Linked DNA regions of Styela clava. The protein of the gene in region 1 purifies or fractionates together with the protein of each later gene. This does not show direct contact. Links are inferred from orthologs where the notes say so. Each region holds a gene or a part of one and is shown on either strand. Other genes may lie near its edges.

What was found.
Region 2: the proteins of DNA replication licensing factor MCM3-like (region 1) and DNA replication complex GINS protein PSF2-like purify together in Drosophila melanogaster (affinity purification with western blotting; 3 studies listed by BioGRID, with this or other methods). This does not show direct contact. The link is inferred for Styela clava from reciprocal best matches to the Drosophila melanogaster genes Mcm3 and Psf2.

Annotation. Positions count from the first base shown.
Region 1 is NC_135257.1:13,037,752-13,048,571, forward strand, and holds DNA replication licensing factor MCM3-like, read right to left. Parts: upstream 5,248-10,820; 5' UTR 5,122-5,247; coding exon 2,686-5,121; 3' UTR 2,485-2,685; downstream 1-2,484. UniProt on the Drosophila melanogaster protein: Acts as a component of the Mcm2-7 complex (Mcm complex) (Mcm complex) which is the putative replicative helicase essential for 'once per cell cycle' DNA replication initiation and elongation in eukaryotic cells.
Region 2 is NC_135252.1:9,321,004-9,332,524, reverse strand, and holds DNA replication complex GINS protein PSF2-like, read left to right. Parts: upstream 1-6,228; 5' UTR 6,229-6,233; coding exon 6,234-6,370; intron 6,371-6,410; exon of another isoform or gene 6,411-6,688; intron 6,689-7,098; exon of another isoform or gene 7,099-7,192; coding exon of another isoform or gene 7,193-7,245; intron 7,246-7,734; coding exon 7,735-8,299; 3' UTR 8,300-8,595; downstream 8,596-11,521. Other genes in the region: mitogen-activated protein kinase kinase kinase 1-like, read right to left, coding at 740-810, 1,845-2,060, 2,599-2,740, 3,793-3,939; guanylate kinase-like, read right to left, coding at 9,093-9,473, 9,687-9,772, 10,298-10,388, 11,076-11,208. UniProt on the Drosophila melanogaster protein: The GINS complex plays an essential role in the initiation of DNA replication.

The DNA.
Region 1 (10,820 bases):
TCATGTTTTCTAAATATCAGGCTTGGTTTTGGTTTAAAAAAGAATTTGCATTGCTTTGTTGCTCCAGCTGAAAATATCACTGTACTGAGTCATATCATGCAACAAACCTATTTATTTTTATCTTCACAAGTTTTTGTTTATACATTATAATAGTCTCATTATATATATTTGTGTGAGCACTAGCTGAATCTGGTGCGTTTAGGTGAAGGTCCGCAGAGTGGTGCAACCGGTTCAATGTATTTCCATGATGTTACAACAAACCCTTTTATTGCAACATGATTATAAATTCATAACTACTGAATTTTTTATTGATCCGAATGCCCCCTTAAAAATGTCTTAAAATTTTGTCGTCTATATCAGAGGTGTGAAAGCTGTCTGCCAAACATGCTTACATCTGTGTGAGCCAGTGGTTTTCAACCTTTTAGACTTAGCAAAACCCCTGTGCAATAGTTCAATTAATTCTTTCATTATCCGTATGGTAATATACTCTATGTATATAAAAGCAAACCTAATACTGGCAAAATGAAATTGACCTTAAAGGGCAACCAGTTTAACAATGTTTTCAAATACTAAAGGTATTTGATTATAATTATACATCATTTAATACAAACTCCTGGATTTAAATAGTAACTCGCGTAACCTCTCGATACCCCGGGTAAACTACACTAGCTTATGGTGACAGACTTTTACATCCATTGGGGATCAATTCATTTTAATCGAGGTGATACAATAATTCACAGGTTTGTTTTCTTGCATTCAATATCAAATACTTTGCTTTTATCAATCAAACTCTGTAGATAAGCACAGTAAATTTTGTGTTTTACATCCTGGAACTATATGAATTACTTTTACAGCTTCCTGGTTATATATTTTATGGATTTCCATGTGACTGATTAGGTATTGGTGATAGATTGTACAATAATTTTAATTGTCAAATATGTTGTTGTGGGTCTGTTCTGATTTCATTTCTAATCTTGATGCACAAAATAATATTGAGAATTGAAAAAAGGGTATATACTATATTATTCAGATATATTGGTAAAATAAAATATATTATTACCCATTTAGTGTCTTGCTGGTTAACATAGGTGAGTTAATTTTGTCACCTGAAACATGACATGATTTTTTTCTGTTTAAATGGGTCTAAGTTATATTGTCTCAGTTTAGTCAGTCTGGAAATATTGATAACATCAAAGCAATCGGACCCCTGGATATTTTGTTAGAATTTTTAAATGCTTAACGTCTTTCAAATATTCTAACATTTGCTTGTTTTGTCAACTATCCAGTAGTCGTAACTGATCAAAGCATTCAGAAATACGATGTTGTTTGGTGAAATCCGATATTGACACCGTCCCATAATTTATCTGTCTTCATGCTGGCAATGTAGGACAAATCTTTATTCAATAGTCTTATCATGCACAAATTCATTCAAAATATTGTATCAGTCATGTCGTGCGTTGTTTTAATTAGAGTTGTGCTCCCCTTTGTTTCAAGTTCTGTTTCCCTGTTTCGTATATCAGTACAACACAAGCATAATGAAATTATAAACCTGTACAGCAAATAGTACCAAATCCATGAGAACTATCAGCTGTGAACTATATAGAATTCTGCATATAATAATAGAAACGTGTCTCAAATTGTATTTAAGACTATGTTATATGCCCTTGTGCTTATTTAGTTTTACTTTGATATTTAGTATGATGTTTCAACTCTTATTCTATTTGTAGTTAATATGCTTATAGTGAATTAATTGCTATCTATATACTGTTTCACTTAATATTTTGCAGTATGTCATGACATTATTCAGATTTTAGTAGGTTTTGCCTTTTTAAGATCAGAAGTGGGGCTTGGATTTTTTTGCCTGAACTGCAAATGTTAGCATTATGTGCTTATGGAATGATATTGACTGACATCTGTATCTAATTGATTTTATTGCTATATTCATTCGTGCGGTTTTTGTGTACTTTTCATGCTGCATTACTTTAATAAAATGGCGGAACATATATACTGAGGTAATTATTTGTGGGACATTTTTATTAATTCACGATTAATCTTTCAAATGCCAACTGTTACGTAACACTGGCCTTACGAATTATTAGACAAACGTCTTTGGTGAACAAATATCTTGGCTGGCACCAATCGCAAGTATAGGCTGAGTATCAGCGCATTCCCATTGGGCCCAAATCCCAGTTATAGAACTAGCAAACAAGTTTCTGACAAGTCGAGAATTTGTAATTTGCTACAATGCACTTCATCTAATGGCATACAGATGGACAAGACCAGTGGACTTGCCTGTAGTACGCCTTGATGAAAGTGGTTGCCTGACACTGACTGCTATTAAGTAATCTAGCATTATGCAACATGTTATAGAATCTTGGGTAAAAACCTACAACAGCGTGGAGGACATTGCAAAAAACTAATTTTTTTTCTTGCCTGCTCATTTGCTGAACTAATCTCATAATGGAACCAATCAAGCACTGCGTATAAGTTTCACAATAACAAAACTATCTGTACAGATTTACATTTGGAACATTTACGAAAGAGCTATGGATAACAAATTCAACAGCAGAAAGCAAACATGATGGCATATAAAGTAAAAAGAAATGGTAAATTGTCTCTTGTTTCTGAGGTTCAATATGTTCATTGATGTACACATTCTGGAAATTGAATGTATTCTCCTGGATTTTAAATGAGGAATACAGTGTCATCCGTATACATCACTTGATTGCTGTCTTGCATTTGTGAAAGACAGGTGTCAACATCGTCCTTGGAAAACTCCTGACTATCCTTGTTGACCCATTCAACAATGGCAGCTGTGGGCAGGCTTTGTGTGTGTTCAACTTCAAATTTGGCAAAAAGTGACTTCTTGAATTTATTCATCTTCTGTTCATCAATAGCAGTTGTGGAACGCTCACTGTCTTCCATTGAAACATCAACAGTTGACTGTTGTTGCGAAGGACGACCCACAGCACTGACATCAGGTGTGTCTTCTTCGGCCGAATCAAAATTATATGGGTCATTTGGATCTCCAGTGGTTTCATTCCCATCCCCACGCTTTCTCCTCTTGCGGACTGAGGTATTTTGACTTTCAATGACTTCATCTTCACTGTCGCTATCGTGAGTCTTTCTTCGCCTCTTCTTTTCTTTTTCCATCACTTTATGAAAATAAGCATATTGCACAAGCTCAATAGCAGAATGAGCATCTTTCAAAGTTACTTTCTTGGACAAACGTGCTTTGGCATGCGCAGTTGAAAGACGAATTAAAGTTTCAAGAGTACGAGCAGTGACTGGTGTGGTTCTGGCTACATCACTATTCTCTTGATCTTGACATCTGAGTTTGGTGTATTCTTCTGCAATACATTCCGCAGCCTCTCTTGTCAAAGTAGGCTTTATAATTTTTGCCACATGAACATATCTCTTCATAAAGGCAATACTCACCATTTTAGATTTTTTGCCAGATCCACGATGCAGCAATTTATTATGTTTTTCATATACTGGCGTTTCTTGATCTTTGTTCTGTTCGCAGTCTGGATCATCTGTGGACAAAATATCTGCACCAATCGATATTGGCATTGGGTCGCCATCTTGTTCATTTGTTGCACGATATTGATGCATTCTAAGCACATGATCTGATATTCTTTGATCATTTTCTGGGTCCATTTGATCAAGAACGATAAAAAGCAAGTCAAATCTAGACAATAAAGAATCCTGCATTCCAATGTTATCCATAGGAGTCTTATACTGGTCATATCTACCATAAACAGGATTCGCTGCAGCTAACACGCTACATCGAGCATTTAACTTTGCATGAATGCCAGCTTTTGCCACAGTGACTCTTCCTTGTTCCATTACTTCATGAATTGCGGTACGATCTATGTCACTCATTTTATCGAATTCATCAATACATACAACTCCACGATCAGCTAATACCATAGCACCAGCTTCAAGTCTGCGTTCTCCAGTTTCTTCATCTGAAGTCACTGCAGCAGTTAATCCAACACCAGTTGTTCCTCGACCAGTAGTTGTTATAGCTCGTGGTGCTGTATGCAAAATATATCTCAACATTTGTGATTTGGCTGTGCTTGGATCACCTATCAGCAAAACATTTATATCACCACGAAGTCTTGTTCCATTTGGCAAAATCTTTTCTGTACCGCCAAGTAACATACAGAGCACAGCTTTTTTGATATATTCATTGCCATGAATAGAGGGAGCTAAAGAATGGGCAAGAATTTCAAATGGGTCAGCACCTTTTTGGTTTGCAAATTTCCTTATTTTAACAACGTCATCGGTTGAGAACATTGGTATAACCTCTTTGCTAAGAGGTTTTACATGATTTGCAATCAAGATAGTTCTGAAAACACCAGAAGTATGGCCTTGTTTTTTACCAGGTAGACATCTAAATATTCCAAGGACTTGGACACGATCACCAGGCTTACAGAGATCAACTAAATCATTGTCAACAACAATATCCACCGATCGAGGAAGTTGTCCCGCTGGAGCTTTTTCAGGCATCTCTTGCACAGTCAAGGTCTGGTGATCTTTGTAAACTGATAATCCAAACTCGGTTTCTAATGGATTATTTTCTTCGTCTTTAGTTGGGTACACAGAACTTGATACAAAAGGTGTTGTAGAGGTCATATCAGTGTATCTTCTTTCTAAAGTCTTCTTAGTAGCGGGGCAATAATGAACACTACGAACAACTTTTGGTCTAACAAGTGAGCACTTCGTAACAATGCCTTCAAGGCATATCATGCTACCAAGATACAATGCTGTTAGGGTACGAGGAGTTACATGCTTTGACCCAAAACTTCCCTCAAATCCAACAAAAAACTCCTCGTGTTGCTTTGCATATTCAGTGTTGATGGAAGCAACATAATTTTTCAGAGCACGTTGAAAAGCACCATGCTCATCAAAACCATTATCCAAAAGCTTTTTAGCTCGCACATTATTTCGTCGCCGGAGATCGTTTATGTTAACAACAATTCGGGATCTTCCCTTCTCAATCATTTCTCTAACCAACGCAGAATACACACCTTGGTCTGTGACTTCATCATCAAGAAAATCCAAATATTGGCGTTCAGCTTCCCGTAATTCCTCATCAATGTCCACATCCATCATATTGACTATATTTAATCCAAAAAATACCCCCGCAGAAACAAAACGGCAAAAACGAACGAAGAGTTTGCAAGACTTCCAGGATCAGATCACGTGTCCATGTTTCGCGGGGTTTCAGAATAAGGAAACAAAGTGGACTTCTAATCGCTGATGCGTGTTATTGCAGCAAACCAGCGACAGCGGTGGGTCCTTGACTCCCTTGTTTCGATATGTTAGTCGTTGGTTTCTAAATTGCGTTCGTTTTGATGTAAAATTAAAATATTATATTAATGATTGATTACTATATATGAATTGTATACTGATTAAGACGGTGTTTCTCAATTTTTCCACTTGCAGCCTGATGCTCAGGCTGCCTACCGAATCACTTCAGTCGCATTAGTATTTATTTACGCTTTAGATGTCATAAAAAATATTACCGGTAGGTTAGATTTGATGAATCATCTGATCGTACATCGTCTATATCTGGTCTCTGCCTTCATTATCTTTGAACCCACGTACATTTGCACCCAGGACAATTACACGTACCTGCATACTTTTGCACCCACAGATTTTCGAACTCATGAACAATTGCACCCATACATTTGCACCCGCATACAGATTGCACTCTTGAACATTTGCATCCATGGACATTTGCACTCTCGGACATTTCAACCAGTGTACATCTGCACCCACAGACATTTGCACACATGGACATTTGCACTCACGGACATTTGCATCCGGTAGATTTGCACCCGCGGGCATTTGCACCTGCGCACATTTGAACCCGCAATACATTTGCACCCACGCACAACTGCACTCGCGTACATTTGCACCCACGGATATTCGCTTCATCCTACTTAATTTTGCACTAGTAAACATATACACCCTTTGGATACCACACTTTTAAGACAAAGAGGTTATATTGCCATTTGCGCCGAAATAGCGAATGAATAGTGATGAAGACGAATTCACCACCACAAACCCGAACGCAATTTGGATTTTCATCCATTAACACAGATCGGGGAAAACAACCCGCATCGGTGTGGACACCATTATGACGCGGCGCGGCGGTGTGGCTCAACGGGCTAAGCGTTAGGAATATGCTAGCCACCGCACCTCTAATTACTCTGCGTGGGTTCGCAGGTTCGAATCCCATGCAGGGATGGTTATGTGCGAGAGGATTGCTGGACTCCTCGCCGTCGTTGGGTGGTTCACGTAACCGCTGGTCGGTTACGGCTTCCTCTACCACCAAGTCCATGCTACCGAAAACAAACAATATAACTAATCCCATAACCGACTTGGAATGGTAACCGAACGGGAGGCCGTGGTTCGCCATATGAATAAGCCGTCTTATCGGCTTTCCTCTCCCCCGTGATAAATATGTATATATTATCCTTATCCTTATGACGCAACAATTCAAAGAGTAGAAAGTGCTTTAAACCAGTGTTCTTCAACCTTTTTTATTTTTTTTAATGTGGTATACCTTACAAATACCAATTTTCATTTAAGGCCTAAATAAACATAAAATTTCAAGCACATATTTTACTGCAATCTCATCATGCAATGGACCTTTCCCCGAGCATCGACTTCCTTGTTTACTTCGTGACATTGGCCAATCAGCAAGATGCAAAAAGTGACGTAACAATGCCCCCTTTTCGCATCCGCTCAGACACTTTTCTCACTCAGACAGATTTTCAAGCGTGGTCTTAAACATTATCTCGTTTTTGTGTTTTTGAACTCTATTCGTTAGTTTTCAGTTGTGTTTCGGAAACTTAAATAAAAATCAGTTAATTTAATGATCACTCTTGATCAAGTTATAAATTTGACTGACGGCCTCAGCGTCAACGGGAATAATGTTCAACATAAATCAAACGAAGTGCATGGCAGCCGAAATCACCAACCCAGACACGTGACCGCATTATCTATATAATTCGTGATGTAACAATGTGCTCAGGTCGGTTCTTCGCCCTGATCTAGGCTGCACACCCTTCGTTTACCCTTTATCAGTTGTATACCCAACTTATAGCCCGGTATACACTTTGGTATACCGTATAACCGGTTGAAGGGCACTGCTGTAAACAACTTGTTGCAAAATCCTGCTTTTGTCGAGTCGAAGTCGTTTCTCTGGTGATATGTTGCGATTTTGTTTTTCTGTTAATATTGATTGATTAAATTTGTATAATTTTTTTGTCATTCCCTCTTCAGCCCACAGGTGTCGCTGACTCGATGACTGTCACAGTCTTTCGCGATTCCTTATCTATTGCTATGAATCTCTCACTTGTATGAATTCTTATGTGTATAATTACATTTTTTACTTTTGTCATTATACACGTTTGTCGATTTTACGTGAACATTGTATGTGTACCAGGCTAGGATTCAGGATGTGCGTCATCTTGGTACGAATACTTGAAATCCGCTTAGAAAAAATTGCTCAACATTATATACTCCACACCCACCTGGGTATCATTATTTATGTCATCGACATTATTTCTAAACAATAAAAAAAAAACTTCATGTCTCAAAACAATGTTAGGGCCCGATTCTTCCGGACTGTGAATGCAGATGTGCATAAGTGCAAATATCCATGGGTGCAAATGTTCATGGGTGCAAATGTCTGTGGGAGCAAATGTACATGAGTGCAAATGTCTGTGGGTGCCAATATCCACGGGTGCAAATGTACGTGGGTGCAAATGTCCGCGACTTCAAATAAAACATTAAAACAACTCATTGTATAATCTGTTTACAAATTTTAATCAGTTCTTGCAATGTTCAGGGTGCAAATGTTCATGGGTGCAAATGTTCACGAGTGCAAATGTAGGCCTACATAGGTGCAAATATTTGTGGGTGCAAATTTCCATGGATGCAAATGTACGTGAGTGCAAATGTCCGCGGCTTCAAATGTCCAGGGTGCAAATGTCATGGGTGAAAATGTACATGAATGCAAATGTTTGTGGATGCAAATGTTTATGGGTGCAAATGTACATGGGTGCAAATTTCCGCGAGTGCAGATGTACAGGGGTCAAATGTCCGCTGGTGCGTAAATCTATGAATGAAAATGTATGGGTTCAAGTGTCGGTGGGTGCAAATGTCCTAGGGGTTTACGAGTGCATATGTACGTGGGTTCAAATGGGCTGTCATCCTGGTCTCTACCTTAGTATGCACAAAAGTAGGTATAAAAAACGACAACTTGGTTAACACTACCATACACGAGATATAGGGTGTGGTTTGCCTTATGACAATACACAATAACTTCATTGCGTCAGGCAAGACTCATAAAGAGCGTTCGAGCATGAATTATTAAACATAAATATTAACACGATTATCATGCAACACTGCTTAGCGCTTACTATCAAACGAGTTTACTCGCTACCAAACATAACCCCGAGTCGGAAATTTGAAGTTAGGTATATGTTTAGCAATATTATTTAGCAATTCAAATATGATTTCCAAATGCGAATTCTTGTCAATGTTCATGGCCAGCATGAAAATTCGGAATAAACAACAGGGTAATATTCTTTCGGCTGGATTCGGAAACTCCCCGTTCAGCAGTAGACTTTTTGACTGTTCATTGCAATCTCTAGTAACCAACCACCTCTAGTGAGCGATGTTACGGTAGTTGGATAACACCGTCAAAAACAGTAGGTTCCCGATTCTAAATTCCAATTAGAAATTTAACCTTGGTTTTTGCTGCTCGGTGACCAGTTTTGGTCCCCACGACTTCCCTTTCCCAGTAGAACTGTTTAATTAACTTAATTAACTTGACTTGGAAAAATAGCCTATTATACGATACATAACTTGGTCTTTTTCAGAACCTATATGTTGCGCTAATATATATGAAAGTATCAAAGTAACGCAATTTTGAAAAAAACAATGTTTGAACACTGCACCTAAAATTCATTTAACATAGTCAACAATTCAAAGATTTCATGCAAAACATTACATATTTAGAACGGAAACGCATCAAAATTCAACAATTCTGGCATTTGAAATAACAGTACCATTTCGATAGTGGAAGAGGACATCAACCGTTACATGTTGATGGTAACAAATTCTACAGTTCTGTCTTTTAACTGTGGTTGTTAGATCGAGAGACCCAAGAGTTTTTTTTTTTTTCAGCAAATAAACTTATATTGAAATAAACGATATTGGTAATACAGTTATAAAATTGATCACAATGTTTGCAATCGCAGTCTAATTATGTTATAAGAAAACTGAAAAAATCCCAAGGACAATCATTTAGCAAATAGAATATTGAAATAAACAGTTTTTAAATCAGCAATATAGTTATAAAAGATAATTTTTCACAATGTTTGTAATTGTAGTCTAATAATGTTATAAGAAAACAGGAAAATGTCACATTTTATGTATATACTATATAAGGACAATCAATCGGCAAAAATGGAAAGAAAAACAGTAACATGTAATTTAATAGCAAAAAATCACTTTATTGACTATTATATAAATAAATGCCATTTTCTTTTGTGTATCAGGATTTGATCATTTTTCATTGCTATATTTTTCTCGTTGTCACGAACATCACGAATAAATTTATAAAAAACATCAAAAAATGGTTTTCGTTTCTGGATCCGGCATCTATATATAAAAAAGCAGGCAGCCAATAATACACAATTGATAAATTGTATTTCAAGAATGTCATCAAATCCCATGAAACATTCTTTGTTGGAAGAGAGACCCAAGACTGGTTATTCATGCAAACGGCAACTCGACACTTGAAATAACCGAAGCAGCAGACATAACCAAAATGCGCTATTCCCCAGTCCAATGAACGGCGAAATAAGCGAGAGACATATTTTCCTTCGCACATTGCGTGGGTTATCGGAGTCTCATAATACAAATTCGAATGTTACTACAGTACTCAGGCCCTGCAAAATGGCATCAGCATAATAGTATATTATAAACGATATATATATAAACAACATAAACACGGGCATTGTGGTCCTTGAAACAAGTTGTCTTTAAAAAATTGAAGTCTGAAATTCCGGTGTTTCGCGAGCACTTTATGATATATATAAAACGTATTCCACAAATCCCAAAGAGTTAAAAATCACTGCATTCGTGAATGTCAATTTACCCTCATCAATATCATATAGAATACAACACATGACATTATGATTTGATAAAGGGTAGCCTTCTTTGTCAATATGACTCTCACTGACTAAAACAAGACCAGGAATGAATCTATTATTGATTCAGTTATTTAGTAAGGATGCTCTGAAGTTTATCAAGATCTATTGGTAAGTTGGCATCGGTGAACAGGGGCTGCCGCCTAATTGATATGTGAGGACTGGACTGGCGTGGAATCAGTTACTTGGAATGTCAATATTTTTTCATATTCGAATAAGGGAAATACCCGTAAGTTTACACTTTACCTAACCGGATAGTCACTGTCAATTGTTAGTTAGAGAATCGATTCAAAAAGATATGTGCAATGAAAGGATTGAAAAAATTCCGAAACACTTTTTACGTTTTTAGAGTTGGACCCACTATTTATAGTCCGGCAGATAAGGGGCCCTTTTTGGCCCAAGTTTTATTTCAGACATAAAGTTTTCTCATTTCAAATCATTTATACATGGGTGTGGAGTTTGCAGCCTTGAGCAATTTTTTTACGGCTCGATATTTGTATTAGTGTTTTTTGTCAAACCTGTGCATCATAATGACGCACAACCTGAACCATAACCTGTTACAATACTATGTTCAGGCTG
Region 2 (11,521 bases), on another chromosome or scaffold:
TTCATGTAATTTCCATTAAATACTAGTAATCATACATGGGGCATTGATTAGGAAAATTTTTTTCCAATCTGAAGATAATAACAATGCTGACATAGTCAGACATTAATAATTGAATTTGGCAATTTACAGAATTGAAAGTATCCAAAACCTGACTGTTATTAAAACAATTTCAAATATTTTCAAATAAAAATATTAGAACAATGCTGTAAAATATACCTTATTAAATTGAAAAAACGACATTTTACCTTTTTGGTATGATTTGTTGTCGCAATAAATTTCATGTTTAATAGATTTGGGTTATTGCCAAAATATATTTCATATATAATACATTGCATGCCCATCACGGAAAAGTTATTTTTAATTCAGACAAAAGCTTACACTTTACTACCATTGTCCAACGTAAATAATCCCAACTGAAAGAAGAGGACAAAAATATGCCACTGCCATTTCAATTACAGAAAGGAATGATGAATTGTAAAACTAAATAGTTTTGTCAGTGTTAGTTTATTGATGGTGAAGCAATTTAAATGTAGGGTAGATGCACACATAATGTTTCAATATTGAGTAGTTATTATAATATAAATAAATGTATAATTAGATTATTAAAAAAATTCTGTGCCTGAGTTACTTGCCTGATAGCACCTAAAACACACATTATAAATTAACATGTCTCTATAATCAAATAATCAAAAGTGCCATTTCCATTTAATAACCTTATTAGAAAATTAGAGCCACTTACCATAGGCCCCTTTCCTCTTATTTGGTTGAGTATATTTTCATTTTCAGTGTCATTAGAAGGTGGTGGTTTTACTGTAAATGAAGATGTACAGATAAAATTGAAATATTACTAGTTTATGCCTTCCAGGCTGTCTATAAGTTGAGTAAGTTAAAGCAAAGCCATGTTTCTCATAATTCTATTACTCCAATTTCAATATAAAACAAAATTGCTAAAAGCCAATAAAATCGAAAATTTGCATTTCAAAAGATGATGTTTCCTGGAACAATGTACGGTTTTAATGTTTGCATAATAATATAGAACATAAAGAATTTCCTTTTTGATTATTTTCACACACCTCACACATGCTGAGAATCAGAACACCCACATAAAACTAAATATAGCCATTTAATAAAAAGTAGTGGCAAACATAACAGACCATACCTTATATAGTATCATAAGGCAAATAGAACATTCTAAATCAATTGTTCTTGATTTTTTGAATGTTGTTTCACTAATATTATTGTTTACCATATGTCTCAAAAATTTAGTTACCAGTAAATGAAACTTGAAATTAATTTTATTCAAAAGGTTGGTATAACAAAAAAAGTGCCATCGATATTTTTTTAAATTAGACATGTCATAGTGAAAATAGGATTATTAATGTCAAATTTAGCATGTATCATGGTTCTACTATAAAATAGATCTAGTTCATTTACGAATAAAATTAATCGTAAAAGCAGAATTATACATTACAAAAATATTTTAATATAGAAATCCCAATCAGTACCAGATTATTATTAAAATATTTTATTCACCTACCATTTATATCAACTATTATTAAGGACTACTAAGCAATCCCTATTCAAATGAGTCATAAGTAGAAGTGGCAACCAACACAAGTTCATGAAAAAATCAGTTATCTTACATTACTGATGGAAAAAGTGGTAGAATAACATTGTTCGATGAAATATTCTAACAATTTTAGTCAATGGTTTTCATTATATGTACATATGACCTGTAATTAAGAATTCTCACTACTTTTATTTTTTGTTGGACTACAAACAAAAATTTGATGAATCATCGATGTTTTTATCATATTTAAAGACAAAACAAAGTTGATATTTACCATGATCTCTCACTCTGTATGTCATAGCCCCACGATGGATAGGCCGTCTAATGTGTTGTTTTTTCAATTTCTCTCTGATATCGGATTCCTCAATGTGCTGTTCTAACCGCAATGTGGGAGGAACAGAAGCGTTTTCATCTTGATCTTTTTCTGCAGCCTTGGCATCATTATTTGATTCTGCCACACTTGTTCCAGTATTGTCTGATGAGTTATGCTCTACAAAATAATATAAATTGCAAAAGTGGACTTTTTATAATTTTTTGGTGCCGACAATATTAACAATTTTATTATTAATAATTGTTGACAGTGCATATTTTTGGGAGCCTACATTATTAAAATAAATTCAATACAACATGGCAAAATAAGATGTTAGTGCTCTTTCAGCATCCTAGACATTATAATAGTAGATCAACTGAAGTGTTAAATAAATGCTATGAAGAAAATTGGCGATTCGTGAGAATCTCAATGATATGGTCTACTATTTTATCAATGTTAAATGCTTCATTTGTGGTTGAAAATAAAGAAAATAATGCCTGATTGTTTACAGTATGATTTTATTACAGCTCTTGCTGCAAAACGGAACATGAAAATTGTTTTAGTTAATCATGGTGTGGAAATTGTGTCTAGTAGATGCCTGTCTCGCACTTTATTGAATAATATTTTTCAAATCAGAGAGAGTTGTTTACATGGTTCTTCAATAGAGTCAAATGACAGGTAGGCCCAATAGGTTGATAAACACAATAAATCAACGCACCCTGGCGTCTAGAGTTCCCAGATCTCATTTCTTTACCAATCACGCTGTTCAATAAATTTCTTGCTGATGGAGGAGCAATATGTCTCGGTGGGTGATGTTTCTTCTCTGGACTGCTGGAACTTTGTACTGGAATGCCAGTTTTCTAAATAAATAATAAAACTTAGAAAACTGAATCAATTAACACAAGAATTAAGGAATATTTCCAATAAGGTTTACAAAAAAAAAAAAAAAATTTAAAGGTCTAAAGTAGACAGACAAATATGGTTTATTAGATATCCATATTCATATCTTCAGCCGTAATTTATAAGAATTATACTACCAGTGATTATCCCTGGGTTTTGGTCCACTAAAAATAAGATTGAAATGACAAGATAAACAATAAAATGGATGTCAATCTCAAAAGATATATATTATGTTCAAATAAATTTGCTCGCCTTTTCGAATCCTTTTAATACCGGAAAAGATTGATCAACTCAACACTAAATTGTTCAAATTAAATTTCTATTTATGGAAAAACTATTTATAAATAGAATCTTCTAATAAGTAGTATGTAATTCAGTTTATATTCAATATGAGCAAGAATTATATGAAAAAATCTCAAACACATAGATCATGGAGGTAAAGGGGTACACAGGTTTGTATCAGAGCCCCAAGTTGATTCTTACTAAGCACAATTTGGAGTGGTTCAAACAGAAAATAATTTTACCAAATTGCAAAATTACGATCTAGAACTATTTCCTCCTGGGATAAGAAAACCATATACTGGGAAGCATAATAGTTAAAAACAATGATATGTTTATCCCTTATTAAGTATATTTATATTCAAAATAATTACGGTACTTTATTTATAGTGAATGGATTATTTGTATCAAATTTTTCAAAAATCCAACCTATTTCATGAAGAAACAATTTTAGATACCAAATCAAATCACAATAAATTGTACGGCCATACGGACGTCATTAGCATGACAGAGACAGACAAGTGATAAGTCCATTCATAGTCAAGAACTAATCCTTCACTTCCAATGGTAATCCTCTTAGTAACACTAGATTTTCACCTACCCAATGTGAAGATTTTTTCCAATCTATAATGTAGTAGGCCTAATGGTTTCAGTGAGAGCTTTCTATGTGCAAACCTAGAAAATGGAAAATTAAAGTGCCATATTTGTGCAAAATACAAGCACATTTTCTCACCGGTCTAGCACTATGGTGAGGTTGACTGGTACGTCCTGCCTGTTTGCTTACAAATTGTTTCCTCATCATTTCCAATCTACTTCGTGGATGTCCATTTCCTGTGGTGTTTGATGTAAAATTGTTGTTTGCTGAGTCCGTAGTATCCATTATAGGAAGCAAGAGTAATTGGTAGAAATTTTTGAAATGTTAAAATTTATGTTACACCATCCTTCAAAAGTCTTTTAAGATTTATTAGGTCATTCTATCTACATACTTAATCACAGGCTGTAGATAGAAAATAAAAGTATAAAAAAAATTGAACTAATCCAGATTTTGATATTCTTTACTGAATATGAACTTTTGAACTCAGAATATAAGAGACATAAATGATATCAATATGACACCTCATATAGTATTCCAATTATGTTCAAGCAATAGTTGCCTTTTTCTGAATATGTTACTGTACGGCACAGTTCTCAAATTCCAAGAATATCCCCTACAGTAAAAGACATCAATTTTGACAGTGAGTGCGAAATCCTTCTTTAGGAGGCAGTCTGGGGTTTCATATTGGCACAAATCAGCAAACCGCAACATAAAATTGGATTCCTCTGATGAAATATTCTGATTTACAGAATGAAAATATTTTTACCAAAACTGAAAAGGCACGTCACAATTGATTTAAATTATCATCGAAACATGCATGGCGTGATCTGGTGCATCAGATGCACTCGCTTTCAAGACATATAGAGTATTTGTTTTCTTGAAATTGAAGAACTATTCCCTACTTTGCTTTGAATCATATATTTATTAACATATATTTAAAACTTTCCTAAATATTTCCAAAATCAATAATTTAATGTATCAAATATTACTTTAATGTATGAAATATTACAAAAAATTTCATTCGCGAGAGACAACTACGAATTCAAAAAGCACTACTCAACTGTACCAACTAAACTAGAAATTATAACTTAAAGTGAAATGAGTTCAAATAAATTAATTGGCTATTAATTGGCTACCTACATTATTAACATGCTCGCCTATCTAATTAACTTCCAAGAATCCAAGACACTCTACAAACTATAAGTGAGGTGTTTAAATGTTTTAATTAATGATTACTGCATAAATATACAGACAAGTGATACGGCAATACACAAAAGGGATAAAAGTGAATAATCTTGAAGACTATGTGAACAAAACCATGAAACAATATATCAGTAGAGCACAGTGCTCCTATTCCAAGATATCCCGACATTTGGTTCCATAAAACGAACACTGTATTTGTCTTTGAAACGATGGTGTTTGGTACGTCGCAAATTGCGTAGATGCTTCTCCTGATAATAATTTAAATCAATCGCGACGTGTGTCGGCCTTCATGTGACCAAATTTTGACAAAACCTATTGAATGCTGTGATAAAATTCTTTTTCTTCTGTAAATCAAATTATATTTTCCGAGGAATCCAAGAGTGTCATTTTTAAATGTTGCTTTCCTTGAGTTTATTGCGCAGTTGATTTGTAGCGATATGGTGTCCCAGACGTAAAGTAGTTTTCGCTATTATAATTGATGTCTCATATTGTGAGGGCTATTCTTGGAAATCGAAGAACTGTGCCATACTGTATATAGATATCATAAACCGTAGCAGTAGACTACCGTAGTATAGAAATATCACAAACTGACAAACAAAATAAACTAAGAGCTATATATCCAGATATCTGTATGTTAACTAACCCACAGCTACATTTAGACATGGGTCATACGTTCTTGATTTGTGATTGGTATGGTACGGTACTGTACCTGTAATGCTTGCTCAATTTAACAATAATCTCTCTAATCATAATACTGTTTTTTTAATTGGCTCACTCAATGAGTGATTTTAATGAATATGCAAAAAATAAATAAATGTACAAAATAAAATAAGTCCATACTCCATTTTGAGTTCATAATCCATTTGTTGAAAATGAGAAAATAAATAATAATTCTAATGATATAATACAATAAAAAAGAAAAAAAAAAAAACTTAGCAAATGTATTATAGTCTACAATGTATTGTACATCTAATTGCTTCACATAAATTCTGCAATTTAATATCAGGTGTTTTATTTTCAAATACTGAATCCAATAACTGAATAATACTGCATAATCCAAATTTTATATCGAACTATTGATAACAAAAGAATAATTGCAATAAAATCTACACTACTTATATAACTAATACTGTTATTGTCCTTTTCTCCAATCTCAATGTAAATTCGAGGGAAACCGTAAGGGACGCCCCCCCCCCCCTAAAAAAGCTGGCAGAGCGACAGGCAAACATCATCTGAGTGTGGCGAGAGCTGAATGGCCATGTTGTTGGGTTTTTTTCACCGAGCTTTGTTGTTTTCACAACAAAAATGTTGTTCTGTGCTGCTATCTGGCGGCGAAAAAAGTAAAATTTGTTTATTGTCAGTATGGATTGGAATGGATGAAAACAGTTCATACCTCAATGGTTGCGACGCGGGATTTTCAGGATATTTTACGAGTGGTTAGGGACAAACCTGTGCCGGTATCTCAGTATGTATGTATGGATGTTTATTCGTCTCGTAAAAGCAATATAAAAGAGTAAGTACTTATAAATACTGAAGACGGGATGTATGCACAAGACCATATTGGCCTAAAACACAGATGTGCGGCATACACCCCTTTGATTTATATAAATTATAATAGGGTAAATCAAATATGTACAATATGGTCCTTTATACAGGCAGTTGTGCGAGGAGGGTGGGTGGATGCGGTAACAGGGATATGGGTGGAGTGTACAAAACTGTTTGTACAAAGGAGTTTGTTAGACAAAACAACATCTATAAATAGTATCTGTCTGTCTTGGCCAGGGCGGGAGCAGGAATCAGGAAGGAGAGAAGTTTTACTTTGCAAACTATGGTACAATTTGATTTCACGAACTCTAACGTGTGATAAATACCGGTACAGAAATATAAAACAGTGGCATTGAAATCCTGTAAATTGTACCATTGGTCAAAAATCCTATACCTGTAGGCTATACGGAGATACCGTAAAATTTGATTTGATTGAGATCTGCCGAAATAGTTTACCGTACCGGTACTGGAGGATGCAGATATGCCTAGTTAAAAATCTTTTCATAAACTGCTGCATTGATCTGCTTACAGCTGTACAAAAAGCAGTTTCTACTTGAGGGCCTGGCCCCTGCAACGTCACACTGAAGAGAGAGATTTTTTAGTCATAATAATAAATCAAAAAAGAGCAGAAAACTATAAGCAAAATAATCCGAAGTACACTATACAGCTATATAGAGAATTTTACTAAACAGATACCAATATCAGATTAATAATTAATAGCATACCCATTAATTTAATAAAATTTTGAGGTCACCACAAGTATGAATTACTGACTCAATTTTATCCGAATATGAAATTGTGGCGTTGCTGTTTCTCTTGTTTTTCATTTACATCAAATGAAAAGTAAGTTTACTGTAACCCAACCAATATCATTATACATTAGTACCACAAACAGGTAATAACTACTCATGAGAACAATTTGCAATTAAAAACTATAATGTGATCAAAAGTGATCATCTCAAAAGCTGCAAATAGTATTTTTTAATAGCATACTGTGACGATGGATTGAGACAGCAGAATCATATAGCCAGCCACAGTTTCGCCTCTGTCTTTTTCATCTCTTGGAGTAGCAATCTATTTCATATATAATGGGGATGTAGGTAGCTGTAACTTATGTATGTGAATCACCTTATGAGTTATGCCACACACAATCATCTGCCAAAATCATCGAAAGTTTTATCCCCCATTATTTCGATTAAGTTTTATAATTGCATCTATTCTAATTATGTTTAGAATATTCTGATCAATTATCATTGTTAATTCTCCCCAATCTCTCATCTAAAATCAGCCATTCCCGGATGATTAACTCTCTTGATTATTGTAATTCAACAGCATCTTAATCATGGATCATGTGGATATTGAATTTCTTGCTGAAAGAGAACATGTATCAATCATTCCCAAGTTCAATTCTGACAAAATGTTTTTGATATCGGGTGAAGTTGGACCATTTAATGTCGGTGTTCCTACAGAAGTTCCAATTTGGTTGGCAATTAATTTGAAACAGAGAAATGAATGTCAGATTCAACGCCCTACTTGGATGGAACTTGCCACATTGGAAACAATGAAGGAAGATGAAAGCAATAGCGAACTCTTTACTCCTCTACCTAGTCCTTACTTCCAGGAAATTTCCCATATTTTACTAAATCAAGCAACTGATAATATACCCCACGCTGATGGTATAAGGACTATTATTAAAGACATTTTGGATATAAGAGTTGCTAAGTTAAGAAGCAGCATAGATAAATTTGTAAAACTGAAAGCTACTTATGCCAAGCTGGATAATTTGTCACAGATGGAAATAAATACAGTTAGGGCTTTTCTAACAACTGCACTAGATCATATGCGTAACCTTGACAAGACTGAGAAATTGACAGAACAGTATGCTTCTGTGAACTAATATAAGTTTCTCGACAGCCTTCTTGACATTTCTAGTCAACAGTGGATGGAGTTGGACAGAGAGTCTGGAATACGGAAAAATGGGCATTCACCCTCCTGGATAACATAAAAATTCATCTCATCTTTATGGGATGCATGTGCCTATGTCAGGGATCAATATATCGTTTTATGTTCTGCCAACGTTAACAATGACATACACATTTTCATGCAGAATTTTTGTATTGAACAGTATTACAAAAGATTGTCACAATGCACAATTTTTAAAACTGAAATAAAACACATGAAGCACCAACCAAATTCGCATACAGAGAGACTAGGGTCTTTAGATTCGAATTGATTAGTCTAATAATGGTTATGGTTTTGCATATAGTAATTCGATAAAAGGTGGAACTAGCCTTGTTGCATAAATGTGTTTTGGCCTCATGATTGAGGAGCAAGGAAACGACTAGTTTGGATAACTGAAAAAGAGGTTTTGGCTACTGCTAGACTTGTTATTATCAGCCTTATTTAACTTTTCAGCTCTTACAGTGATTACCAAAACATCATGATCGTGTACCAAGCTTTTCATGCGATACTAAAATGATAACAAAATTTACAGAAATCAGACAGCAGAAGATAAAAAATAAAATTCTCACACTCATGATAAACTATTGTGGCATGCAGTGCACGAGTAAAAGAAAATCTAAACTAAAACTTAAAACATATTTACTACATTTATGATAAATAATATGAAACTTGCTGCAGAGGCTTCATGAATAAAAAATAAACCAATTATTTCTATATAAACTTCGTCGTCAAGAAATAGAACACCAAGACTGTCGACCACAGACTCCATCAGAAGGGAGAGTTGTTTCGGACTCTTCGAGTGTGACAACTGCAGGTGAATCGCTCTCGCTTAAATTCACATCGGAGATTTCATTAACAAGTAGCAATGGAGTTTCCCCAACATTAACGACTGCAGGATTCTCTTGGTCAGAAGTAGTTCTTGTAGGGCTTAAAGGTATTTCTGCCACACTACTTTCCAATTTAATTTCTGAAAATCCATTACAAACGTTTCTTCCAGCATCTCCCGCTTCCAATTTTGATGCTTGTTCTAACATTCCGACACTTGCAGCGAGCGGCAACTCATCGTTTGAATTGTATCTCTTGCTCTTTTCCAATAAGTTCGGACATGTCTATTGTATTTTGGAAAAATGCTGTGAAACATGTAATGCTATTCATCACAGATTAGTTTGAATGGTTGAACTGAAATTAGCAAGATGTGGCTGCTAAATTTTGTGCAATGCAAATGTAACATATTAACCCAATATTTCTGCAACTAAGTGGCTGTTAAGTGAATATTACTATATTGCTGATACTGAAAAACTATAATACAAACTTGATCTCACCTGCTTCATAAAACTTAGGAGATTGATATATGATTGATTCAGATCACCATTTTCCAAGACAAAGTCATAAACACCAGGTTTTTCGCCTATGAATAAAATATGATATGCAAATTAGCACCCAATACTGCGGTGGTATTCAGTCCATTTCTCATAAGGATTTAATATACTAAGCATTTGCTTTAAGGTGTCCATTTCTATAAATATTTTATTTGTCTTTTGTGACCTTTATATTAAATAAACAGCAATTTAACGCCACCCTCCTTCCACAGGCTGGCTGCAATAAAATAATATTTGTCTAACATGGTAACCTGTTATGGTAAAGGTAGTTTCATGCATTTAATTGTATTAATTCATGAATATTGTGTGAATGTGTGTACACTACCTAAGTCTACTTATTAAGGTAACCCCAAAATAAGAATCAATTTTAAAAAAATACAGTGTCATGAAACGTTCATGGTATCTGTAAGTCAAAGTTGCGCAAGAGCAACGTTGCAGTTTGAATGCATATCCATTGAGTATAAAGTCAATAAATATTAAACGTTCAAAACAATAAAACAGCTCCAGACAATGTATGACTTTAAAAATAAATAAAACGATGGGAATTTACTCACTGAATGAAATTGATGATTCGGCAGTGCTCATTCTTCTTTCTAGACTTTCTTGCGTTTCAGTACCTCTTGATGTCAATCTTCTTCGAAGTTCCTTGAATAGTTTTATATATTTTATTAAATATTGGTATCAACAAGAACATGAGTGAGCTCATGGACATGGTGTTTGCCAAACGAACATTTTACTACTTACTAATTCTGACATATTCAAACTACGGTAATATTTTCACATTGGGAATCTCTAATATTTTCTAAATTAATCCTGTTCAACAGAAAAATTTACAGAAATTATTGTCATTTCTAGTGCAAAATAACAGTTTTTATTTTTTAGTATCCATAACATTTGCTTTTTTCGATAACCAGATCTCAAATACTATATTTAATTTATTTGGACCATTCTGATTTAAGTTAGAGAAATTTTCTTGCCACATCAACTTGGCCAGGCCAGACATGCTAACAATTAAGACACTGATTACATCAATATTTCAGGTAGTATTGTTATTTTGAAATCTCAATCTGAGAAGTGCTCAGTTGGGCAAGGTCCGCTTATATGCAAATCTTTTATAAATTCACCGTTTTATGGGGTCGGCTTATATGTGAAATATACGGTAACCTGGAACTATACCATTCAATAGAGATATAGAAAGTTAGTCATCAGGTTTACTGATGTAAGTAAAACAATATATTATGATGTAGTAAATGAACCTTTTATGTTTCAGTAGTAATTCACATTCAGTTTTAATGGATTTTAAATAGTAAATTTACTAAAATCTGAACTCACATCCATAGAGGGTGGCTTGATGAATATAAAGACTGCATTAATATCACTTTCTTTAATATTTCGCACCCCTTGTTCATCAATGTCCAATATACATATTTTGTTTGTGTCAAGTACTTCTTTGATTGCAGATTTACTGTTATAACAAAATAGTCAGTTTTATTCACCCAGTGATTAATGCTATTAGGAACTTGGGTGTGGTGATTTTTATAGAATTACAAAATGTCTCTCTTTACTGATCAAATGCCTATGCATTGCCACATGCCATTACAATACATTTATGGAACCGATCGAATGACATGATAAACCCATAATACACATACTGTAAAATAGCATTTTAAATTTATTTCGTATAATGTAAACCTTCATAGGTTTATGTGAAAGTTTGATTATACTTCTAAAGTTACATAAGTGAAATATATCTATTTATACAAACTATATAATCTATC